Linked DNA regions of Callithrix jacchus. The protein of the gene in region 1 purifies or fractionates together with the protein of each later gene. This does not show direct contact. Links are inferred from orthologs where the notes say so. Each region holds a gene or a part of one and is shown on either strand. Other genes may lie near its edges.

Region 1 (4,326 bases):
ATTGGCAAAGCTTCGAACCGTAGACATGGCCGACAGAGCCTCAATGGCCACCTGGCTGGATTTTGCCAGAGATTCCTGCACCTGCACTCCCAGCAACTGTGGAGACATGGACAACAGCGGTCACATGGGTTGGCAAACCATCAGGGACATTAATACCTGAGTTACCTAGTTGGAAATTAAAGGTGAGAAGAGGCAGAGGAAAGGGAAAGAAGAGAAAGAGGCACAGCTATGCCCCTTGGATACTAAAGAAATACAAGGAAGAGGAAAATGACTCAGAACAGGTTGGGGATCAAATTCTTAAATAGAGACTGTGCTAGAAAGGAAGACCTAGAGAGCATAGAGAGTAATGTTGAGCAACCTGGGAACATGGATCACAGGGACAGGGCGCTCCGTGAAGATGGAGAATCAGTAAGCGCACCAGGAAAGTTGGACTGAGAGCAATATTAGAGGCACTGAGTCTACCAACTCTGGGAGATGAGGGTCTGTTTAGAGCGGGCCAACTCCATGAACATACCTGGTACCATTTTCCCAGCTTCTTGGGCAGAAGGAAAAGCAGAGGCAGGGCCACCAGGGTGACCATGGTGAGGGGCACTGACTCCCAGAGCATGATCCCCAAGAGACACATGCCTCGCACCAGGTACCACAGAAGTGAGCTCAGATTCCCACTCAGAGACCCACTCAGGGTGGATGTGTCCTCTGTTACCCGAGACGCGATGGTACCTGCAGGGTTGGGAGAAGAGAGTGAGGCGAATCAGACAGGTTCCAAGTGAGGAGAGGAACTAACAATGAGCCAGGGTACCAAGGTGAGGGGCGTCAACAGGGGGTTCTAAGGAGGCTGTAGGAAACACGGCTAGGGGTTCTGCAAATCTCAGTGCAGGGAGGATGAGTGTTAGAGAGGAAAGGCCTGACCCAAGACCTTAATTTTTATTATAAAGACATTGATGCACATGTGAATTTCCATTTTCCTGAAAGCATTCTGTTCCCTAAAGAACCTGTATGTCCCATGCTATACACACAGGTAGGAAGAGCTTAAACTGGTCACATAACAGAAATGGAGGAGGAGGGTGCTGCTAGGAAGCATGCCAGTCTGTGGAGCCCTCACTGGGAATCAAGAGACCCCAGGTGTGTCTCTAGCCACATGTAACTGTGCGGTTTCAGCATTTAGGGTCTCAGCCTCAGTTTCCTTCTCTGTCAGATGAGGCAGTTGGTCTCTATAAGCTCAAAATTTCTGGGTTTGAAATTCTATGGTTTCTATCTAAGGATACATAGGAACAGACTTATGAGAAAATCCTTGATGAAAACTCTAGGCTTTTCTCAAAGTAAGGACAACAATATTTTGCTCCTGAGGTATATCAAGAATGAGAAAGAACAGTGTGTGTGTGTGTGTGTGTGTGTGTGCGCGCGTGCGCGTATGCGTGTCAGAGAGAGAGAGGAGGGAGGTGGGAGATCAAAGCAGATGTATGATATAAATAGTACATGGTGTATAATGAAAGAGTTTCATGAGAAACCTGTTTGGTTCTGTTGGAAAAACTCTGTCTCCTGGCGCAGGACAGCTCCAAACACCTCTCCCTGCAAGTGGCTGTGAACGCGGCCCATGGTGCTGTTATAGATCCCGTCACCCACGAACTCCAGCACTGCACTAGAAAGAGCCCGGAAAAAGGGGGTCACGGTGTGTTCAGGGAACAGACTGAAGGTCCCAGGTATCCCCATGTAAGTGCGTTTTGGACAGCAGCCCCAAATTCCAACTCCCTCTTTTGCAGAGTGAGAGCCATTTTCAACCCCCAGACCTGGCTATGGTGAGAATGGACATAAGAGTTATGTTTCGAGTGAAGGTATCCACTGAGCCTTTTTGTAGAATCCAGTCAGTGAGGCGGCCCGTGAAGAATGGAATGGCCATCTCCCCTGGGGAAAAAGAAGAGAGGTCGCGCACAAATATTGTCTAGACAGGTCAGTTCCAGTCAGACTGGCCCCACCACGCCTCCTCCCCCTCACCATTATCCTAGAGGGCATTAGAAGAAAGGAAACACTGACATCTCAATCCCGAACCTAAATAGGCTGCCCTGGAACTCACTACCCTGTGGTTGGCCTCCCAGAACTTTCAGGATTTCATTAGGAAGGCTGGAGATCATGAAGCAGAAAAGCCTCCTGTTAAAGATGAGGATGCCCGGCCCCTCTGCCCCAGGGCAAAGAACTTCCCCGCCCCCGCCGTGGCCCAGAGAATCAAGACCCGGCCAGCAACGGAGCCCAGAACTCCTGACTCCCTCCAGTTCAATGACGTTTCTTCTACACTGAAGTGGTCTTCCAAGACCCACGCTAGGACTTCTTCCCCTGCTGCACATTTCCCAGAACCCACGCTACTCTACCTCACTGACAATTACCTTAGTTTCCTGCCCGGTCCCCTTGTGTCGCCCCCTCGCGCCCTGCGTTCCCCTTACCAATAGAGGATAGGACCACCAGGACCAGGAACAGCGAGAGGCGGCGCATCTCCGGGCCCAGGAAACCTAGAAGCCGACGCACAGGGTCTCCAGAGCCTCCCTGACTGCCGGGCACCCAGAGGCCCCCAAGCTTGTGCCACAGGGCGGCTGCGGGCAGTGCCGCCGCGTAGCTGACGACGAAGGCGCTGGGGTGACTTCCCCAATGCAGTAGCCTGGTGCTATCCGCGGCTCCGGGGGCTCCCCACGAAACCAGCTCTCGGAACGAGGCAAGTCCCGGCAGGGCCAAGCCCAGTGCCGCAGCCAAAGGCTCCAAAGCCGCCAGCCAGCCCTGGGCACCTGCATTTTCGCTCTTGGAGCCAACTGTTGCCCTGAGGACCCCGCGGGCCCCCAGCCACAGCATGGCCCAACGGCTCAGGCCCACCGCCCAGACCCGGAGCAGCGGCAGCGTCGCGGGCACCAGCAGGGAGAATATGCAGGGCAGCGAGGTCCGGAGCAACACCCCGTCGGCGAGAAGCAGCAGCACTGTCCCCCACCACGCGACAGAAGCTCCGAAAAGGCAGGGGCGCCCGCGGGGAGCGGGACACCTAGAACTAGCCATGGGCACGCTGACGCCGTCCGGGTCCGGGCCGGACCTGAAACTCTCCTCGCTCCGGTTGGGCGGGAGTCTCTGGGTACCGCTGAGTCCGCCCCTACCGGCGGTTGAGGGACAGAGCGAGGGCGGGGCTCTCGGAAAGTCCCAGAACCGACTGATCGGTGCTGGCGAGAAGCGCAGCCATTTAGGGGAAAGCGAAATCGAAAGCGGCAGTCTGCCCACTAGATACGCGCACTTCCAAAAGTGGCCTGCCCAGATTATTTTGGGAGCAAGCGTGGAAATCAAATCTGAGAATCTGGGGAGCAGCACTGGTGCCCAATTTTCTCCATCACGCACACCGCTCCCGCTTCTCCCTGCCTCCTGCCTCTCCACTAGTACCAGTTTTCCCACCCAGCCTCAGGGCGGGGCTGACTCGTCACTTGTCTCCGGGCAGATCCAGCCTACACAGGTTAGCGCCGGGCGCTAAGCCGCTCCGCGGCACCCAAGCGCCTCCTGGCGGTGCCGCGGGGGGCGGGGCTGCCGGCTGCGCGCTGCGCGCTGTCCCAGGTCCGAAACTAGTGCCCCAGGCGGCGACGAGCGCGAGGTGCCTGGCAGGGATGCTGCGGGTTGGAGCGCCAACTGGGGACTTACCCTGGGCAGGAGAAGTCCACACCGGGGTAATGGGTCTGGGCTTGAGGGTTGGCAGAGGGGTGGAGGAGGTGCAGCGGCCGGGAAGCGCGGAGAAGTGACTGCAGAGACTGACCTGAGAATAGGGTGGTAGTCTCTAGCAGCCAGCGGTTGCAACGCATAATGAGCATAGCGTATTTCTATTCTGAGGGGGGTCGTCTAGGGTGTCCCTGAAGGCACGCAAGGCTGGTGGAAAGGGGGGTGCTTTGACTCTTAGCTAGAAGCGTCAAGGGGAAGCTGCTCTAAAGCGCTTTCGCTTTCACTCTGGTCGGGACAGTGGGGGCTGGTTAAATCAAGAAAGGGGGTTGGGGACATGCAAAAAGATGAGGAAATGGTACCGGGGTGAAGCAGAACACCACTTGGGAGAAGGAAACATGGTCACTTAATTGAGAAGGACCAACTCATCACGCAGACTTTTGATAAATTTGCCACTGGGTAACTCTTAACCCAAGCACTGATAATGGGGGTTCTGCGTTAACCTGTGATGCCCTTCCCTAGCTTGACCCAGGAAGGCCCCTCCTTGACCCAGATGCTGCCTTGCTCCCTTTTCTGTGTCTTCCCTGCCCACTCCCATGTGCCCACTGGGGGACTGTGCTTAGGATGGGAGCCTGGGGCAGATGGTAGCCCCAAGGC
Region 2 (4,599 bases), about 430 kb from region 1:
TGGGTAACAAGAGCGAAACTCCGCCTCAAAAAAAAAAAAAAAAAAAGACTATCTGTGGCAAATCTGCCCTGAACTTCCTGGAGAGCAGAATCTACATCAGATCATCTTTGTGACCCTGAAGAGTACCCAAGGCCATCCCAGAGATTCTGATTTAATCGGTCGAGCCAAACATGGATTGACTCAGGTTTCAGTATATTTTAGAAACTTCCAGCAGGATTTTTCTTTTTTTTTCTTTTTGAAACGGAGTCTCACTCTGTTGCCCAGGATGGAGTGCAGTGGATCTTGGCTCACTGCAACCTCCGCCTCCCAGGTTCAAGTGATTCTCCTGCCTCAGTCTCCCAAGTAGCTGGGACTATATGCACATGCCACTGTGCCTGGCTAATTTTTGTATTTTCAGTAGAAAAACCCATTGGGTTTCACCATGTTGGCCAAGCTGGTCTCAAACTCCCAATCTCAGGTAATCGACCTGCCTCAGCCTCCCAAAGTGCTGGGATTACAGATGTCAACCACCGCACCCAGCCCCAATGTGATTCTTATTTGCAGCCTGCACTGAGAACTACTGAGTCCTAACTCATTCTTGGTGCTAATAAGTATTTATTGAATCAATGAATAAATTAACACAGTGCCTTTTTTTTTTTTTTTTTTTTTTTTTATAGAGATGGGGGTTTCACCATTTTGGCCAGGCTGGTCTTGAACTCCTGACCTTGTGATCCACCCACCTCAGCCTTCCAAAGTGCTGGGATTACAGGCGTGAGCCACCGCGCCCGGCCACAGTGCCTCTCTTGATAGTCACAACAAGAAAGGCAGCTGGGAAATAGTACCTACATTTTACAGTTGGAAAAACAAACTCAGAAAGCAAAGAACATTCTTATCATCACCTCCATGAAGCCGGTAGCCCTAGGAAATATTTCTCCCCCAAGCCCTGACCCCAGAGAGCGCCTGTCTACACAAGAGCGGTGTTCCTCAATTTCTGCCAGGGTTGGGGCTTAAAACTAAGAATGGAGGTATAGGCAAAGGTGAGGGTTTCAGTGTGGGGTTCGAGTCTGTCTCCCTGGTTCTGTGGGTCATTCTCAGAGAGGAGGGTGGAGAGGAGGGAGGGTGCAGGGCTTGGTTGGGGTTTACCTGTCCATCAGGCTGTGTTGCTTACATAAAATCCAGATAGAAAAGTTAAGAACTCTACCTGTATTCTACTCCTGCCTCTGCTGCCAGGAGAGAGAGTTCAGGGACACCGGAGGGAATGTGCAGATAATTCAAGAATGAGGAGGATCTGACCCGGATCCTCCTCATTCTTGAATTATCTGCACACTCCCTCCCGCGACCCAGTCCAGCAAAGCATCCGACCCCTGGGCCTCAAAGTGCAATGCACCCTTTAATGCAATAGGAACCATCTGATCTCCCGCCGCCTCGCTCCGCCCACTCCAGCCCACTTGTTTTCGGACCACAGAGAGGCAGCACATCCCCACAAGCGGCTGTCAGGGAAGGTCCAAGCGCTAGAGTGCAAGAGCCTTTGCTTTGAGGATTGCCGCAGCGCCGGGTGTGGGAGAAGGTGGGGCTACGGTTTTCGAAATGGAGTGAACCTCAAAGCGGAGGGTGCCTAGCAAGATACAGATCTGGGAGGAGCAGAGAAAAAAACGCTCCTGCTTCTGGACTCCTCCCACCTCGCATCACCTGACAAGTCTCTCAAGGTCTGGTGTAGAGAAACCCCACCTTTCCAAAGCCCCGCCCTTCGAAACAAAGTAACCTCCTCCCCTCCCAGTCGCAGTTTTTTGTTGTTGTTGTTGTTGTTGTTTTAACTGAGTGAGGGCTAGAAGGAGCAGTAGAGATTGATTGATTCTAGCCAAGCCATCTCTCTTAACTAAAAAAGGAAACGGAACCCCGATTGGCGAAATGTCTGGCTCAAGTACATAAAACGAGTCCACCGGCTGATCTGGACCCTTAGAATCTACCCATCCTTCTCCACCTCCCCTCCCGTACCTGTTGCCATGGTGATGAGAACAGGCTCCTGCTGAGGCTCTGGTTGTGGTCGCAAAAGGCTGGAGAGGCTGAGGACTGGGCTGGACATGCTGACCATCAGCCAAGCCCCATCCAGGGCCCGCGGGCAGTTCTGTTCCGGGGTCAGGCCGCTGGCCCAGTTCGCAGAGGCAGGGAGAGGGACAAAGCGGCTCATCTCGCAGTGTGGCGCGGGGGCGCCCCGGGGATACCGCCTGAAGGCAGCCTGGAGGGCGCCCGCGGGGTCTGAGTGTAGAGAAGGAAGTTGCAGCTGTAGAGTCAAGGGCGGGAAAGGGGCTGGAAGGACAGGGTTCGCGGAACTTCAAATGTACAGACTACCCCATAGTGAGACTCACTTTATAGAGGGGAAGCTGAGGCCCCGAAGTCACTGCCCGATCTAAAGAGGAGGGGGTTTCTGTGGAGGTGACAGACATAGGGGAGCGGCGAGTCCCTAAAGACTCACCGTGCACATTGAGGTAGAGCTCAGGGTCGAGGTCCGGCCGGGGCGGCGGTCCCCCAGTCCCCTGGCGCAACAGCAGTGCAGCAGGTCTCTTGGCCAGGCCCTTTCCGCTCGCATCCTCCACGAGCCAACACTCGATCGCCGCCGGTCCTGCCGAGACGGCGGTCGCCAGGCCTGGCATATAGGGGCGCAAGTCAGGGGCGGCTTAGATGTCTGGTGACCTGCCCACTCCCACTCTGGCGTCGGCGCCAGTGGGGCCACCTCCCTCCGCTTCCCTCTAGTTCTTGGGCGATGAGTCGCGGGGTTCGCTCACCCAAAGCTATAGCAAGGACCAGAGACAGGGACTTCATGGCGCTGCGATCTCCTCAGCCATGAAGCCTCCTCTTCCTCCTTTCACTTTCACTTTCCTCCAAAGGACGGCAGGAGGGGCGGTGGAAATCCCCGCTCTGGTTAGGTGTGGGTGCCTGGGAGACCGGTATTTCCCTGCTGGCCAGGGAGGGATCCGGGAAGAGCCTCTCCAGTTATCGTCAGGACACCCCAGCCTTGCCCTCCTGGACCACCCAGCAGCCACGAGTTTCAGCCCTCCCCAAACCCAGCACCCCCCACCCACTCCTGTGTGCGCCCTCCAGCATCCACTTTCCCGAGAACCATTACTCCGGGTTTTCTCCACCTGTGCCGCGTCCCCAGCAAACACATGGGTTGTCGGGAAGCCAAGTAAATGACCAATAAATATTTTAATCACTGTTAAAAAAAATAAAAACCTTGTACTCCTACTACTTACTCCCTCCTTGTCTCCACCCACTCCTCTAAGAGAACCGAGTTGGGGATTTCCCCGGGAGGTGGGGTGGGTGGGGAGAGACAGGGTAGAATAAAGAGCGCATCCTTGAGATGGGGTAGGTTTTAGGACAAGGGTGGGGCTCAAAGGCCTGGTCCCAAGACAACACAAACACAGACTTCAGGCACAGACTACAACCACCTGACCCTTGACCCTGTGACTGCAGGATGCACAACACGCCCCCTCTCCCTCCCTCCATGTGCACCCTACTCTGTGGAGCCGGGGCTTCAGTGTACCCATAAGAGGGAAAGGAAGGGCTTAGTTCCAGAAATTCCTTGGGAGGAAGGGGTTGAGGAGTAGAATGGGCGGGCGATGGTGCAACTGCGGTTCCCCTTCCCAGCATATATACAAGTCCATAGAGATAAAGGAAGACAGTAATTGTGGTGGGAGACCCACTGGGGGCCAAACCGCCGTTGGATCGTGCTTATTCCCTCTTCCCCAAAAGCTACCCCCACCCCAGTAGGCTGCCCCTTCAGTTTGCTCCTCCGCCTCCACTGAAGCCCATCTCCACCTTGTGGACGCTGGGTGGGGACCACACTCGTCTGCTGGACGGGGGCGTGGCCGCACTCGCCTCGTCGCCGCTGCCCCCACCTGTTCCGGGGGATTCTCTCTTGGCCGGCAAGGTTGGCCCCGTGGGCGTCCCAGGCCCAGGTCCAGCCCCGCCGCCACCCAGGCGGTGCCGGCGCTCACAGTGTCCTCGGTGGCGCATGAAGCTGTCCCGCCACATGAACTTCTTGGCGCAGACACCGCACTCATAGGGCTTGAGACCTGTGTGCGTCTTCATGTGCTCAGTCAGATGGTGCTTCATCTTGAACTTTTTGTTGCACACGGGGCAGTCAAAGGGCCGCAGATTGAGGTGCATGTTCACGTGCCGGTCCCGCATGCTCTTGTGGGAGAAGGCCTTCCCACAATGGCACAGAAAGATCTTATTCCCATCCCCACTACCAGTCCCTCCAGGAACCCCACCAGCGCTACCAGGGACCCCCAGGCCTCCCACGGACGTGCCCCCCAGGGTCACTGCCCCGTGTTCTACTTGGTTCCCTGGTGGTTGGCCAGGAGCCTGTGAGGAGGATGAAGACGATGGGAAGACCAGGATCTGGTTGCCCTGCATGTCCAAGGGAAGGAGCGGTCGAGGAGCGTGGGAGGGGGCATAGGAAGAGGGAGTTGGCCCCCCTGAGTCATCAAGACCTGCTCCAGGACCCCCACCCTCATAGGGGCCAAAGTCATTGGAGGACTCACAGAAGTTGACCTGCTCCTCCCCCTTGTCTGGGGGCTCACTCAGGGTACGGACATCACTTATGCTGAGGGTAGCCTC

What was found.
Region 2: the proteins of TAP1 (region 1) and TAPBP purify together in Homo sapiens (co-immunoprecipitation; 6 studies listed by BioGRID and IntAct, with this or other methods). This does not show direct contact. The link is inferred for Callithrix jacchus from reciprocal best matches to the Homo sapiens genes TAP1 and TAPBP.

Annotation. Positions count from the first base shown.
Region 1 is NC_133505.1:41,119,666-41,123,991, forward strand, and holds the start of TAP1 (antigen peptide transporter 1), read right to left. Parts: upstream 3,077-4,326; 5' UTR 3,034-3,076; coding exon 2,436-3,033; intron 1,903-2,435; coding exon 1,788-1,902; intron 1,640-1,787; coding exon 1,509-1,639; intron 721-1,508; coding exon 515-720; intron 97-514; coding exon 1-96. Other genes in the region: PSMB9 (proteasome subunit beta type-9), read left to right, coding at 3,624-3,683. UniProt on the Homo sapiens protein: ABC transporter associated with antigen processing. In complex with TAP2 mediates unidirectional translocation of peptide antigens from cytosol to endoplasmic reticulum (ER) for loading onto MHC class I (MHCI) molecules.
Region 2 is NC_133505.1:41,554,124-41,558,722, forward strand, and holds the start of TAPBP (tapasin), read right to left. Parts: upstream 2,838-4,599; 5' UTR 2,800-2,837; coding exon 2,763-2,799; exon of another isoform or gene 2,624-2,762; coding exon 2,453-2,623; exon of another isoform or gene 2,236-2,452; coding exon 1,975-2,235; exon of another isoform or gene 1,382-1,974; intron 1-1,381. Other genes in the region: ZBTB22 (zinc finger and BTB domain-containing protein 22), read right to left, coding at 3,757-4,599. UniProt on the Homo sapiens protein: Involved in the association of MHC class I with transporter associated with antigen processing (TAP) and in the assembly of MHC class I with peptide (peptide loading).